Linked DNA regions of Caenorhabditis elegans. The protein of the gene in region 1 purifies or fractionates together with the protein of each later gene. This does not show direct contact. Each region holds a gene or a part of one and is shown in the gene's direction. Other genes may lie near its edges.

Region 1 (8,077 bases):
TGATTTCATCTTTTAAGAGAAATTCTTGATGAAACACGAAAAAATCACTTTTTTCGCGTGTAGTGTCGCTTTTTTTGCACACGTTTAGAGGTCATAGTATAAAATGTTTTTGATAAGGTAACTGTATATCTGGGATTGATAAAAATTTTTAGTTTTTGCAATTTCATCAATTTTGAACTGAGTTATGATGATTTGAAAATCGGACTCGAAAAATCCCGGAATTTCGAAAATTGCGTTGAAAACATGTTTAACGTTCGTATTTTTGTTTTATTTTACATTATCAAATGTAAATTTTAACGTAGATTCCGTTTTTCTAAATAGTTTTCTCATTATCCAACCGGAAAGTTACGAAAAAAGCATAAATTGACGATTTTTCAATGAAATTGTGCGCAACCCCTTGGTGTGCAAATTAGTGATTTTTGAGATTCTTTCGGCTGTAAGTCGGTCAGTTTGGCACTTTTTGGGGTAAATTTTTCGAAAAACGTATTTTTCAGGAAATTTACTCTTCAAAAATATAATTTTTTTTACAAAAAAGTCAAAAATAACTTCAGAAATCGCAAATTTCTGCATTTTCTCAAAAAAATGACGTTTTTGCTGGAAAAATAAAAAATTTTCCACTACCGAATGGGATTTTATGTTAAATTCGTAATTAGTACATAAATACCGAATGCAAGCTGAAAGCACAGTCCTCTACGATCATTTTCAACGAATTTAGTTTATTTAATTTTTGACCTCGAAATTTCAATTTTCCTCTTTTCCTGGACCAGTTTTCTGTTGGATAATGAATTTTATGTCCTAATTCTTATTATTTTTGCTATGAGAAGCGAGACAAACTAAAATTTTTTGGTCATGAGTTCCTCGAGCCCCGTTCCTGAAGTTGTAGGCTTCAGGCCATGCTTAGGAAGCTCAAAAGTTCATTCTTCACCAATTTCTAAAATTTCAAATGCTATCATATTCTCCTTTTAACGCTGAGTTCAAGTATATACTTTTAATTTTTCAATTCCTACTATGAACAAAGTTACGACGCGTCGAAGTTTGAAAAGTCTTTGCCCGGCCCCCTCCTTCCCCTCATCCGCCAGTGGTAGTTGTATTATTCAACTCACCTGGGTACCCAACTCTTCCCAAAAATCAACATATTTGAATTATCAGTCATATAGTGGAGATATTCTTCTACTCGACACATCGTCACCCCACCATAAACCCCTCAAACATGTCGTCTTTGGCTGTCCACGTGTACATGTACATACAATTGCAATTGTTTTGAATAATTCTTGCCTGTGGCAACCTTTTTGACTATCCCTACAGTATATTTGATTACTTACATATTTTTGTTCTATTATAGCAGGCCGAAGGCCTGCTATACTGGTTCAGGAAGCCACGCAGGCCGTAGGCCTGCGGTGCGAGACCCAAAACATTGCCAATCGCACGTTCGAGGCGAAGCCGAGAACCCGCGCCAGCTAGCGGACTCGCCCCAACCCAACCTCTACTAGCGGGCCCCATAGGGCCCGCTAGTCAAAAACGAGATTTGTTATAAAATTTCAATACCGTTTCAATTTCCACATTATGGTGCCATTGTTGGGTCATTGCATCGTAGGACTTCCAGAATGTTGCCAACCGTCCACCTAATGCTATTGATGAGCCAATTAAGGGAGCACGGTGCCATGCAGGAACAAATTGATCGGAGATCCTAGCGGCAAGTACATCGGCTCCTGGTTGCGGAGATCCAAGACTAGTCAATGAGGATATTTGAACAGGATGTTGGAAATATTGAATAGCAAATTGTGATGGCTCCTCTTCATTCCATTTAACATTTCGGATCCAGTCTCCTTGAAGACTTCCAACACCTCCAAGCACCTCAGATGTTTCGTGATTCCATATAACCACTTGTCCATCACAGCCAGATGAAATTACAAGACGATCATCAGCTTTGTTCCTGTATTAATATTTTTCGTAATTTTTATATAGTTTTTTGTACAAAAATAAATTGTCTAGCTCAATTTTTATTATATAATCAACAAACTTTTAAATAAAAACTTACCAGTCAACACTCGTAATTCCCATATTATGATGTCTGTATTCTTTAACTGGTGTTGAAGTGAATCTCGAATCCCATTTCTGAATAACAGAGGCGTGTTGAGATTGGCTGGAAACTATAAGTTGTGAGGCGTCCGAAGGATTCCAAGAGAGCGAAGACCAATCACAGCCAGGAATCTGCAAATAGAACTTTAATAGCCACCAGGCAATTGAAAATCCAACCTCTGCGAATTCTAACACCGGCGATCCATTTCTTCTCAAATCCCAAAAACTGACTCTTCTGGACGATATGGAAGCAAACACAGACTCGTTCTTCAAGTTCCAGCGAAGAAGTTTCACTTGATCTGGGAAATTTGGCGAACCGGGAGAGAATGGTGTTTTCAGATTTGCGCAATCCCAGAGAAGAATTTGTCCTGAGCCTCCACCAGAAGCCATCCATCTTAAAAATTATTTTTTTGAATTGTTCTTGTAAACTTTCATTTCATACCTGCCGTCCCTGGAAACATCAATAGTGAGAACATGCCCATGATGATCTCTTCGAGAAAGAAGAACTTCTAGTGATTGATTCTTGATAAATTTATCAGCATCAAAAAATACCACAGTTCCGTCCTCTGTACCGCCAGCAATTATTCCGTTCGGATGTGCATCGGAACACAGAGAAGTCCAGGCTAATTCATTGAATCTAAAATTATGAAATACACTATACCGCTTCACATTATAATTCTCACCGATAATTAGTGGCATGCGACACATTCGGGGCCAAATTCGATTTTTCATATATCTCACTTGCTGGCAAAAAATCGATCTTTGGTTCGATTGATGTTGCAGTCGGGTCAAAAAACTGAGCGAAATCAGCAACAATTAAGCCCTGAAAATTTGATTTATTTCAATTATAGACGAAGATTGATTAATTACCTTTTTCTGAATTCCACGTGGACTCCAGACAAATACGCCGGAACGTGAGTAGAGCTTCGAGCTCATCGATCGTGTTCCGTTTAATGAGCAATTGTTGTAACTTTAGCTGTAACGTTGACGTGGATGAATGAGAGCAGCTGAACAGGGAGTAAGTGCGCTCCTTTGCACTCGAACAAATAGGAGGAAGTGAAAGTTTTTAAAAGAGTAGTCTTGATGTAATTCAGACAGCTAGAAACACCGATATCGAACGGAAAAGAAAAATGGCAGAATGAATGTTCCTTAGAATGTTCCGCATATAAAAATTGGGACTCCCAATTTGGGAGGAGTAATTCAAAATATTTCAATATCAAAAAGTGAACTCATCGCACCAATTTTCGAAAAAATAGAAGCTTCTTATTTAAAAATGTTTAAGAAAAATATCAAAAAGAAAATAAAACACTAATTGTTATATGTTTAAGAAATCAGACAATGTTTTTTCAAGTTATGTCGCGCGGACAGAGAAAACAGAGAATACACAAATTCTACTAATAGCTATTGAAAGAAGCGAGGAAAAAAGTTCATTAAAAACCTTAATTTCGCTATTCCCGAAGGAAAACGAAACGATGATTTTAAAAATCAAAAAAAAAATTGATTTTCCGTGGATCTGCAAAACGACGTGAAGTGTCTTTGCGTACTTTTGCATACCGTAGTCAAGTAAGCCGCTAATGTCCAAACTTTCTATTTAAAGTTATAATTATTTAAACCGACTATGAATTTTTAGAAGTTAATTTTTTTGTTTCAGAAAATTAACAAAAAATTGGATGCAATTAAAATTAAATCAACCAAAAAAACATATTTTGGAAAATGGAAACGGTTGGTATTAAAGGATCATGTATGTTGTTAGTTGGGTCTCGCCACGATTGCTAACTAATACCGTACTCTGTTATTTTTGGGCCGCACAATTCTTTAGTTTTTCTTAATTTTGAAAATATCTTGAATTTTCTCATAATATTTTGTTTGTTTTCATTAATTTTATGATCTAAAATTAATTTTTAAAGAATAAAATTGAGCAAATGTATGCCAATACCCATTTCAGACATGTAAAAGTGCAGTAGATCAAAAATTATTTGACCCCAGTTTTAGGCTCGAGCGGGAAATTTTTTGGATTGAGTTTTCAACCTCGAATGTTCCATTTCATTCCTTCTTCATTAGCTCTAATTTTTATTAGTTTCTCCTGAAATGGCGACCATTTTGAACCTTTTCTGTTTTTATTTCGTAAAACTTTTAAGTTAAAATATTCATCCTCTAACTGTTATCAATTTCAGGCGATGGGGCCACAGCTAGCCACCGTCTCGCTGCTTCTACTAACATTTTGTGAGTTTCTGCCTCTTTCTTTTCAATCAAATATTTTTATTTTCCAGTTTCGAATTCTATTCAATACCCGCACTCACCAGCAGCCACAGAATGCCCTGCATACTTCAACGGAAACATAGCAGGAAATGCATGCAGTCGGGAGGTAAACCAGTAGCCCTCCGTTTCAAATATAATTCTTTATTTTCAGTACTCGATATGTGTGAACGGAGTCAGGCAAGCAGCCACCTGCAGCGATGATTCTGTCTTCTACGAAGACGAATGTGTGCCAGTCGACGAATCTCCAGAATGTCGAGTAGATGAAAACACTGAAGAAGATGACACCCCATATGCGGAATTCGACTGCACATCGAAACAGGATGGCATCTACTCCATTGGCTGCTCTAACCAGTTTATCAGCTGCGTCGCCGGCGGAGCCTACATGGCGAAATGTCCTGATAGCTTGGTCTTTAACGAAAGAACCCAAGATTGTCGTGAATCTTGCGACGAAGTGAAACAGGACACAACTACTGCACCACAAGTCTACGAAGATGGTGAAGAAGGATACGGAGAAGCTTCCGGTGAGATTGCTGGAGATTACGAACGTCAACCGTCGAACGAGCAGCCGGATTCAATTGACTTCGATTGCAACGGTCTGGAAGACGGAAACTACGCCGACGGTTGCAATGACGTATTCTACTCATGCAGCAACAACATGGTGTTCCAGAGATACTGTCCACCGGGAACAGTTTTCAATATCAATCAACGTAAGTGCACGTGATCGAGTATTATGTTAATTTCTTCGTTTTTCAGAGTCCTGCGATTTCCAATGCACGACCGATGATCCAACGACCACTGTATCGTACTCAACTTCTACAATCACAACACCGCAAGAAGATGACAGTGAATACAGCTCAACAACTTCCGCTGATGTCATCTCAACAACAACAACACCTTCAATTGATGCTATTGAGACAACTACGACTGGATTTGATGCCGTGACAACGACAACAACGACGCAAACTCCGTTCGTTTGTCAGGAGGGACAAGTCAACTCCTTCGGGATGTGTTCGTCACGATTCAATCGTTGTCAGAACAACTCGGTGCGTTCAAAGCAATGTCCAGTCAACACTCTCTTCGAGTCCTCTCTCGTTATGTGCGTGTTCGATTTGCCACAATGTCAACCAATCACTGTTCCCGCCGCTCCTGCGTACAACTCTTACGGGCCTCCATCGGATACCATCGTCAGTCCATTTGATGAGAACGTTCGTCTGAAACCAAAATTCGACAGAAGGCGTAAGTATCATCATGGGAAGCCGAGTTACGGACCGGTAAATGGAAACTCGTATCTTGAGAATCCATTCTTCATCCCTCGACACCGTGGAGGCAGCCACAGAGATCATCGCCGCTATGGTTATGGACGTAAGTTAGGATTAGTCTTTTCTTTGTGATAATTTTGATACTTCAGCGGCCATTGATTCTCCATTCTCAACCGCTTTCCGTGGTCGTGCTGCACTTAGCGATCAATTCAAAGACTACCGCCGTGCAAGAATGGGAAAGATCCAAGGAGATGCCAGGAAGGTTGATGGAAACAAACGTTTCTTGATTGATGATGAGTTCGAAGGGCCAAACGCGAAGTTTGTTGAATCTAACATTGAGCAAGTATTCCCGAAGAATCGTCATTCAAAAAAACAGTTGGGACCACATGAGGATCCAGACGGCTATGACGACGAGAAAACGTTCGACGCAAAAGATTTGTTCGGAGCCACGAGAAGGAAGCGTTCAGCCTACTACGGAACTGAACAATCTGTATATGGACAGCAGTCTGCACAAATATCTGCTCGACAAGCTCAAGTAAACAAGGACTGTCAACAATACACTACTCCCACTTTCCTTACATTCGGCGACTGTTTCGATCAGTTCATTTTCTGCTCTGGAAACGGAATCAATCGTATGGCAGCTTGTCCAATTGGAGAAACATTCGACAAAACTCTTCGTTCTTGCTCAGAAACGTGCGGTGTTTCAACAACAATAGTCGCTGTCACAATCGGAACACAGACTTCAGACGATTTATCTGCACCTTCTGAGTACATTGAGAATGACGGCGTCACTACTCAATCAACATGGAATGATCAACCATCAACCACTCAGGCTCCAAATTCATACGAATCTTACACCACCCAATACTCTTCAAATGACGTGCCATCGACTTCAGCTGCTCCCATTGGGGATCGTTGTTCATTGGACGCATCAGGCCTTTTCTCACTTGGATGCTCGCAAAAATACATTCAATGTTCTAATGGAGCAGCAATTGTGCGTCGTTGTGGAGAATCGTTGTATTTCAATGAGGCCACACAAGAGTGTACTTACAGAGATGAAGTTCCAGAGTGTAAGCTTTAGTCTAAGCTGAGGTTTATATCAACTTGATAATTTTCAGGCGGATCCCAAGGATCTACAAGTTCACCTGTTATCACTACACCAGGCCAGGATCAGTCATCGAACTACTACGGAATCCCATCGGATGATGTCCCATCCACCACACAAACGCCGGTTGGAGATCGATGCGCTTATGTTGCTTCTGGGCTTTTTGATCTAGGTTGCTCGCAAAAGTACATCCAGTGCTCGGATAGTGCTGCATCTGTGAGAGAATGTGAAGGGTCTCTGTATTTCGATGAACGAAGCCAAAGTTGCCGTTTCAGAGACGAAGTGTTCAAATGTGAGTTTTAACTTTGTTTGAAAATATTATGAAAGTTACAATTTCAGGCCAAACAGCAGACGTAAGTTCTTCGTCGACTGTTCCGTATTTGGACTTCACAACTACTCCAGCATCGCCATCAGAGGATGAGCCAACAACGTATGAACCTTCCGTGGCACCGTACATTCCGTCGGTTACTGTCAACCCAGTTGATACCTGCACAAGTCTCTCAGATGGAACTCATGGAACGGGATGCTCATCGTTTTACTTCGTCTGTTCACATGGACGCCTTATCAGTTCGGGTAACTGCCAGCTGGGTGAAGGTTACGATCCATCAGTACAAGGTTGCCGGACTTTCAGTGAAATTCCAGCTCGAGCTTGTGATGAGCAGGAAGTTACGACAGGTATCAAATTTCAATATTTCTTAAGCTTCAATCCTCTAATTATTTCAGATGCTGGTCTTGTTCAGTTAATGCCGTACAAGACATTAGAAGAGGTTCTTACGACAACTGAGGCTGCTACTACAGTTGCAAATGACGGGCCAACGGACACCTACATCACTGGCTCCACTAAATATTCTACAACAGACAGCGGTGAATACACTATTCCATACGGAGATGAAACCACGTCTACTAGATCCTATGACCGAGCCGATAATGACAGCGAAGACGAAGAAGAGGATGACGTGGAGCACGACCAAAAATGCACCGTTGGATCACGTACCCCCGTTGGATTCTGCGTTCGCACATACCTGGAATGTACCGACGCCGGAAACGTTGAGAAATTGTGCAGGATTGGGAAACTCTTCGATTCTCACTCTAACAGATGCGTTCCTAGAATCGGTTGTGGAAAGGAGGCTATTCGTGATGCTATCAAGGATGTGAGTTGATTATTAAGCTAGTATCTCACAAATTACTGAATTTCAGATGATTGCAACAACGCCCGCTCCTGCTCAACCAAAGCAGTTTGAAGGACGATGTGCACATGTGGACGGGGAAGCTGTCTTTTCTATTGGTGTCTGCAGCAGCAAATATCTCAGATGCTCGTACGGTGCTTCAAAACTTCAACAATGTTCCGAAGATCGTGTTTTTTCAAATGACAAGT
Region 2 (8,077 bases), on another chromosome or scaffold:
ACTCAAGAAGGCTAATGTATCAAGATTTGTCGAAGAAGGCGTGCCAGTCCCATGGTACCAGCCTCAGTCATCCTACGCTGTTGCATTTTATTCAAGTTCTTCTCACATGTTTTTCCATATTCTCAAATCTAAGCGTAAGTTTTATATACTTCTACATATTTTATATATATCTATAAATTTGGTCAAAAGTTTTCTTGTATTTAATAGTCAGAACTGTAATTTCAAAAATAGTTTAACATTCATTTAGCCGCTATATATTCAGCATTTACAGCAGCACCGCCAATAAAACCGATGAAAAAGGAGGCCGGAGCGTTGCTTCCCCCTCGAGCGGTTGTCTATAAGCTCCCTGCAATCAAGGGCTCAATGAAAGATGCAATCTCAGCTCACAAACTGTTGAAAAAATCGTACGCGAAGCCAATTGTGGACATTAGCTCTACGTCAGGCGATAGCGATCCAGAATGGTGGAGTGATCGGGAGTTGACGGCTGATTTGAACTTCAAACGAGGTTAGTCACAGCTTCAGCGATTTCTTCAAATTATGGCTATTCTCATATTTTTTTTAAACATATCTTCTTCAAACACCGATTTGAAACAACAACTAGATCATTATCAAGACAAATAAAACTAATAACTTTCAGAACTTCTGTCAAAAAAGCCACGCTTCTCACGGAAAACCTTCGATGAACGATCTTCATACATTGCTCGTTTCAAAGAATCACATCTGGGAAACTATTTGAATTCGGATAGTGATACAGTCTCCAATGAAAAGCCAAAGACACTTGCTCAGTTAAAGAATTTTAGCAAATCCAACTTGGTGGAATATCATCCAAGTATGAACCGCGATGTTGGGGATGTCATAGTTTATTTGCTCTAGATATCATTATGATTTAGATTTAAACAGTTTTGAAGTAAACTATGAAATTTCAAATCAAGACAAATCTTCTATAATAGGAATATAAAAATGGATTTTTCAGAGCGTTCAAGAAAGAAGATTCGTGCCAAAAGAGTGTACCGAACCAAAAGTGCTGTCACAACTGCGTGTACATCTACATCAAAACAAGCGGCTCGAAGTGATGAACCATTCTTTTCACAGCGCGATACACGACAACATTCTTACACCCAGAGAGTCCAAGTGCCGATTGGTGCCGCACTCCACTCTTCGTCGTCAATCGCTGCAAATGTGAATGATTATCGGTCAAAGGCTCCAACACGAATGATTCACTCATCAAAGGTTTCAACAGTGAATGCGGCTGCCTCAAAGTTTGCTGCACCTCGTTGTCAAGCACCAAACGTTTCACACATGAAAAATGGTCAATTCTCAGTCATTGACAGACTGCTTCCAAGTGACTCTAACACTAAGCCATTGTTAGCACCTGCCTCGAACAACTCGTGGATTACTGCAAATTCTCGTGCAACCGGCATTCTCAAAGGACGATCAGGGCCAGTTGATCAAAGCCAGAATCAGAATACAAGAAGAGAAAATGCTTCCATGTCTGGAAGACAGCCGTTGGACACTTCCAGAAAACACATGTTCTTATTTTGTAATAAGGTTTGTGTGATAACTGACGAAGAGATTCGACGAGACAAGGAACAGCATCGATTGGAAAGGTCACAAATTAGCGCGGAACGAAAACTGGAGCACAGAAAAGCTATGAGACGACAATCCAGGGTTACTATTTTTCAAATTTGATTGTCATACGTTATAAATTTGTAATTTCAGGCTAGACTTCTCAGCCGTCTGCAAACGGAGTATGACAACAACGACGCTACAACGCTGTTCAAATTCAGAAGCAGTTGCCTACATTCGTAGTTGAACGTTTGAATCTGTTATTGTTGCATCCGATTTTCTACCAACTTGACTCTCGTTTTCATTATTCAAAGATGTTTATATTGATTTTTGCATTTCCTATATTCCTATCCTAGTATTTTTGTTTAATCTAGGTAGATTTTGAGTGGCTTGACCCACGTTTTATATGTCTTAATTTATACTCAAGTTAAGTCTCCTGATATTTTTCCAAGACAGGTTTTGTATCATTTATTATTATTAAGGAAATAACTTCATAATTGTATATTCTGAAATGTTTGATATTTTCTATTGTTATCCAGTTTTTTATTGATCTCATTATTGTCATCCTCTCACCCCTCCTCATATTGCTTCTCCGGTTATTCTTTCGAGGTATTTTTCAACGGTTTTCATGCTCCTGCACCCGATCTCATGCAAGCAACTCTTGTGAATGAATAGTTTTTTGACATATTTTTTTAAAAAATATTCAACTTTGTTTGCTAAATCTCTGTAAAAATGCAGTTTTCATACCCTTGCACGCACGCCGAACAGTTTTTAGAAACGTTTACTTTGAATCGTTGTAAACTATTCCAAACTGTTTGGAACTCAGAAAAGCCAGAAAAAAAGACACTTGTTTTTCAAGATCAGCCGATCGGCATATTCGGCTAAATCAGCTATTATCACACCCCTGCTGCAAACGCGCTCCGCCGCCATTCGAAGGTCCCACCTTCGAATGGCAGCGGAGCGCGAACAGGAACAGATCTAGGGCGGCATTGTCTCTCCTTTCTCTGCGCTCTCTCACCTCCTTATATGAACTGTCGGCGCAGGGTGTTCGGGGACCGAGATAAAACATTCCAGAATTTCCCGCCCGGGACTCTCGCCGACTGCCCTCTCGTGCAGTCTCCATGTATTTTTTATGGCCGTGATTCATTTCTTTTCATTTGCCATCACCTTTCGGCCATTTTTTCTCATCTCTAGCCCGGTTGGTGATGCGCATCTTATTAGCATAGTCCTTTCATCTGCACTATCATTATTCGCATGCGGTAAAAAATTAATTGTCCTGTAATATGAACAATTTGGGTTTTTTTCCAAACTACAGATTCTGCTCCTCGTTTTCGAAGATTCAGTCGCTTGCTAATTTATTTCTTCCATGTGATTAACTTTTTAAAATTTTTTAAAATTCGTTTTTTGATCGTTTCTCTTTTGTTACGAACTTCGCAGTTGTGTGCCGCATCATAAACTCGTCCGCTAGTGTATTGGTTTCTTTTCTGAAATAAGCTTCAAACTGATAAATAAACGAACTAAGTTAGGCTAGTTTTAGAACTCGTAACACAAGTTTTGGTGTCCACTTGGAGTTCATTTTATCTTGTTTTTTTCTGTATCTGCATATTTCTTCTACGTTTACAATCATCCTTGAATTTAGCTTGAATTTTTTTGAAGCGCGGATTTTTGAAACGAAACAATTCAAAAGTTGCTCAGATCGTGTTCTATTTTTTAAAAAGACGTTTAGCTTTTGTTTCCAAGCAATACCATCAAATTAACTGTTTGTTGTGAACTTTCAATCTTTTCACTTTATTCCAATTTATGAAATCATTTTAAAACATATTTCAGATTTTCAATGGAGGATCCCAAACTGGGCTCAAGGCGCATGACCTTGCGATCTGCAAGTCGACTGAATATTGAAAGAAATGGGTCAGATAGTTCTTCTGATACTCATTCAAAAATGCGCTCCAATGGGTACAGTTCAATGAAATTATGTGACAATGAATCAACGTTTTATTTCAAATTAAAATCAAAAGATTCAATTGTTTCCAATGTACCAGATGTCTGCTCAAAACCTGTGGCTGGTAATGGAAAAGAGAAGACAACGTCTCCGTGTGAAATTGGACGATATTCGTCATTTTATGCGAGATTTGAAATTGATATGGATGATAAAGCTGAACTCAAAAAATTGATGAACTCGATTCCGGAAAACTACAGTATCCCGATCCTGCGCATTGTTCAGTTCGGTGAATACAACGATGGAAAAGAGCCCAGAAGTCTTTTGTCTTATCGCGAAAAGATGGCGGACGTTGACAAGTTTTCTGATGATTTGGTGATCGAGCTTCTGGATTTTTTTGTAATGATTCGGAGCGATGTGGAAATGGCCAATAATAAAACTGAGAAATTGGAAACCAACGCAGAATATTATGGATTCAAATCTTATGGTAAATTTTGTACGTTTGATTGCACAATCTCTAACGAAATTGCATTTAGATGATAGCTTGTATGATATTCAACCAAACACCAAAAGACCTGCTCCATTGTACAGACCAGAAGAAGTTATTGCGTTTGATCCAAATTGGGGCACTCCAAACTACCCACATGTGATTGAAGAAGATAAAACTAAAAAGCTAGCGAGTGCTTTACAAGATTATCGAACTCTGAGAGATGCTACCCCCGATAAGACTTTCTATTTTGGTGAGATTCCTACATCTCCAATAAATGTGGGAACTCATGATGACCAGTTGTGCAACGGTATGAATTCAATTTCTGGAAACACATTGAACACCAGTTATGAGGAAACAAGACAGCTGAAAAATTCCGATCATGTGAAACAAATTGATCCGCAAATGAAAGGAAATTCAGTGGATGCACATGTTAGTGATTTTATTGAATTAACTGTAAAATTAATATGAATATGTTTTCAGAAAGGGCTCCAATTCTCTATGACTGTTCAAAACTCTTCTTGTTTGTCGAGTGATGGGAACACAAGCACAGATGATCGTGTCAATGCACAATGTTTTGCTAGTTCTGGTTTTGTGAAAAGCGAGCGCCGTCGTTTGGAACAGTTGATGGAGCAGAAACTGGTTAGTTGCTTAAATGTGAAGTAGCGCTAGTGGGAAAAATGTTTAAAACTATTGATGGTGGTAAAAAATTTATTCATATAAAATATTTTGTTTGCAGAAGGAGAAAAACCAATGTGATTACGCAAAGAAAACTCGGAACTCTTCGGCGTTGGACCACGAGTCGTCCTTTGGATCTTGTCCACTATCTGATATTCATCCAGAGCAAAGTCACTTTGACATTTCTCTTCTGGCAGAAAACAAGAAAGTAGAAGAAGTTTCACAGGAAACTGCAGTAAGTTTTCATTGCGTTAGTTTAATGAGTGATTATGTTTTCCAGGAAAAACAAGAAGACAAACAGATCTCTGTGACTTCATTGGCAAGAATGATTGAGAGAAGTTCGATGCCAGCTAATCCGTACAGTAGTGCAGATACTCAAATGGAAGTACATGGTTTCGACAGTTCTGTTTTTGTAGAGAGCGAAAAGCAAAATTCGGAGCAGCGTTGTGAGCAGATAAAGGTACGCAGTCTTAGTGAAAAATTCAACTATTTGAAGTTAAATTTTATAATTCTTTAATCAGATTGGTGAAAAAGACCGTGAAGACTCTAATCGCATAGTTTCTTTTGAAATCTCACTGGACGTAGCCTCGGATGAAAAAATCAGTTCATCGACTACAACACCAAATACATTGGCAGAAAAATGCCAAGCAACTCTCCGGAGAGCCGCGTTTCTATATCCAGTTTATCCGAAGACCAATTCTTCTGCTTGTATGAATAGTCATTCTTCTGTTGATGTTGGTTACAATGAACAGGAGCGTCGTCAGTTTGAACAGGCTCTTGATGAGAAAAAGGCTAGTTGATTTAATGAAGTACTCACTTAATGATCATCTGATTTCAACAGGATGCAAAGAACCATGAGCTAGCGTTGGATCCCCAAATCGACTTGTTTGAGTCTACAGACGTCGAAACTAACGATGATAGATCCATTCAATTTTCTCGTGTAGACACCGGCTTGTTGAAGGATTCTAACAATTCAACAATGAATGGAAGAGAAATAGAAGCCCTTGGAATCAAGGCTCAAGTAGGTTTTAATATTTTAAATAGGCTCTTGTTTTGGCATTTTACATTAAGTGTGCTGATGTTGGTGAAAAAGTGCGTGAAACATGCATTAGGAATAATCAAAAAAAGCACCAATACACCGCGACCAATCAAATCTTTGGTATTAAATATACTCACGAAACGGACCAACGGTTATTTTTCTAAACTAAACTTACTTTCAGAATAATCAAAAAGAGCACCAATGCACCCCAACCGAGTACAAATCTCTGCTGGATAAATATACCTACGAAACGGGCCCATTGATACCTGATCTAGAAATGTTGTTTGGAAAACGGTCAACATCGACTGAAGCAACGGTTAGCACGAGTTCTCGTCCATTGGTACCTGATCTAGGCATGTTGCTCGGAAAACGTTTCAAATCTATTGAATCGACGGGGAGCACAAGTTCTTGCACGGACGTGCAAAATATTGATGTCATTGCCTTCGAAGAAACAAAAGCCCAACTTCGAGAAAGCCATGGACAGATGAAGGTTAGTGATTTGAGCCGAAGAAAAGTATCGTGAACAGTTTGTTATTGGTTTTTTTTTTTGAAGCTTTTTCATTAATTAATAAACACATGAGTTTTTTTTTTAGGAAAAAGAGCGATTGCGTAGTTTGGATGATCATGGTTCTAAAGAATCACTGAGCAAGCGTATGGAGCAGGAGCGTATGAAGCAGTTTTGGCAAAAAGAGGTTAGTTGTTTTAGAAAAATACAAAATCAATATATTGAGTTTTTAGAAACATGAGAGCAGCCGTGACGATGCGAATGAAAACGCGTCATTTGTACATTCATTGGACGTCGAGTCGAATGTGGATTCTTGTTCTTCGACTGGTACTCAAGAAACATCAGAGAAAAAACGTCAAGAAAACGTTTTAGCTGTTGTTCCTTACAATCCAAAAAATATTTCAACACTTGTTGAAGATCAATCTTCCAATACTTTGAAGCGAATGCTTGTGGATACTTCTTCTGATTTGGGCAAAGGTGTGTTACATTGTGAATCCTCATTTATGCAATATCGAATTTTTATGCCAATATTGTTAAAAGTATTTCACTATTATTATTAATATTTATTAGTATTTTCATATTTTACCAAAATATTGAATAAGAAACAGGTTCAACACTTTGGCAGATCTCCTGAAAAAATGTAAAACAAGTTAAAATTGATAAAAGATGGATACAACACATACCAATCTTGCGAAAAAGTAAATAAGTATTTACTTGTTATTAAAATTCTTTTTTCTATACAAATCGGTGTCAGAATCAGAAAGAACAAAATCAGAAAAACTCATTGGAAAATCAGTATTGAATCCTTTGTTATTTTTTTAAATTTAAAATGAAATTAGTATATATGTATATAAATAACGTATTTTAATGGTTTTTCAGACCAACCGCCAAAAAAGAAACGAGTTCCATCATCAATCTCATTTTCGAACGCCGAAAAGACTAGAATGGTTTTGACAACTACTTCAAACATTGGATCAGGATCGTCGTCTGGAGAAGAGATTCTGGAAAAGGAACTGATTTAGATCACCTAATATCAGGAAAAATTAGTAATTCATGCTAAATTTCACTGTCTTATTTTATATCAATTAATTATAATGCTCAAGTCTCCTCTCTCCCATTATATCTTAACGTTTTTTATTTAAATATGTAATTGTATTAGGTTTATAATTGTATTAGGTATATAATTGTATTAGGTTTATAATTTTATTAGGTTTGTATTAGGTTTTGTTTATAATTGTATTAGGTAACTAATCGTTTAATTTATTTCCATAATTATTGAGATTTCCATAGATTGACCACACTAATTTTATACTTATTTATTTACCAGCCGTTCGCACGCGTGTGCTCCGACTGGTGTACAGCGCCATGCAGATTTGTATTTCAATAAATAGATATCACTGTGGCTCCTTGATTTTTGCCAACTTTCTTTGAAATTCGTAATTCAACCTCCGTTATTGTTTTTTCGAACAAGCGGTTTCGCTCCCGGAAGTATTTTTACCGTTTGCCCATTTACTTCTTTTATCTGAATCACTGGCTCGTCGCTTCTCCCATTGTCGCTCGCGATGAAATCTTGTTTTTATTTGCGAGCAGTGTTAGGGGTTTTTTATTTGACAAGACAATTTAAACACTTGTTGCTTTGAAATAACAAAGCGATAACGTTTCATCATCGACTAGAAATTGTGATTAAATGTCTAGAAATCCACTTCGGCAATGAACAGCAACTTCTCAACTTCTCACCTTTTGTGATTGGCATTGCTTTGGTTGGTTGAAAAGTTGCGGCTATTCGCCGAGCAAAATTTCCAGATTTAAAGGTTTTATGACAAATTGCTAGGGCAGTAAGTGAAATAAATGTGTACTTTTTCAGTA

What was found.
Region 2: the proteins of cbd-1 (region 1) and R09A8.2 fractionate together in Caenorhabditis elegans (co-fractionation; one large-scale study listed by BioGRID). This does not show direct contact.

The regions. Positions count from the first base shown.
Region 1 is NC_003282.8:11,368,738-11,376,814, forward strand, and holds the start of cbd-1 (Chitin-binding domain protein cbd-1), read left to right. Parts: upstream 1-4,253; 5' UTR 4,254-4,256; coding exon 4,257-4,302; intron 4,303-4,349; coding exon 4,350-4,444; intron 4,445-4,489; coding exon 4,490-5,045; intron 5,046-5,091; coding exon 5,092-5,700; intron 5,701-5,746; coding exon 5,747-6,667; intron 6,668-6,715; coding exon 6,716-6,994; intron 6,995-7,041; coding exon 7,042-7,377; intron 7,378-7,425; coding exon 7,426-7,853; intron 7,854-7,899; coding exon 7,900-8,077. Other genes in the region: sec-31 (WD_REPEATS_REGION domain-containing protein), read right to left, coding at 1,546-1,933, 2,039-2,211, 2,257-2,473, 2,522-2,716, 2,763-2,902, 2,950-3,015. UniProt on the Caenorhabditis elegans protein: In unfertilized oocytes, maintains egg-1 and egg-2 at the plasma membrane together with chitin synthase chs-1 and kinase mbk-2. Essential for the formation of a continuous and cohesive chitin layer following fertilization.
Region 2 is NC_003284.9:12,616,072-12,624,148, forward strand, and holds R09A8.2 (Dentin sialophosphoprotein-like), read left to right. Parts: upstream 1-3,393; 5' UTR 3,394-3,400; coding exon 3,401-3,989; intron 3,990-4,038; coding exon 4,039-4,421; intron 4,422-4,472; coding exon 4,473-4,631; intron 4,632-4,728; coding exon 4,729-4,902; intron 4,903-4,947; coding exon 4,948-5,127; intron 5,128-5,188; coding exon 5,189-5,458; intron 5,459-5,508; coding exon 5,509-5,688; intron 5,689-5,887; coding exon 5,888-6,196; intron 6,197-6,299; coding exon 6,300-6,398; intron 6,399-6,444; coding exon 6,445-6,688; intron 6,689-7,090; coding exon 7,091-7,233; 3' UTR 7,234-7,606; downstream 7,607-8,077. Other genes in the region: R09A8.1 (Protein kinase domain-containing protein), read left to right, coding at 1-134, 272-505, 638-829, 974-1,668, 1,720-1,809.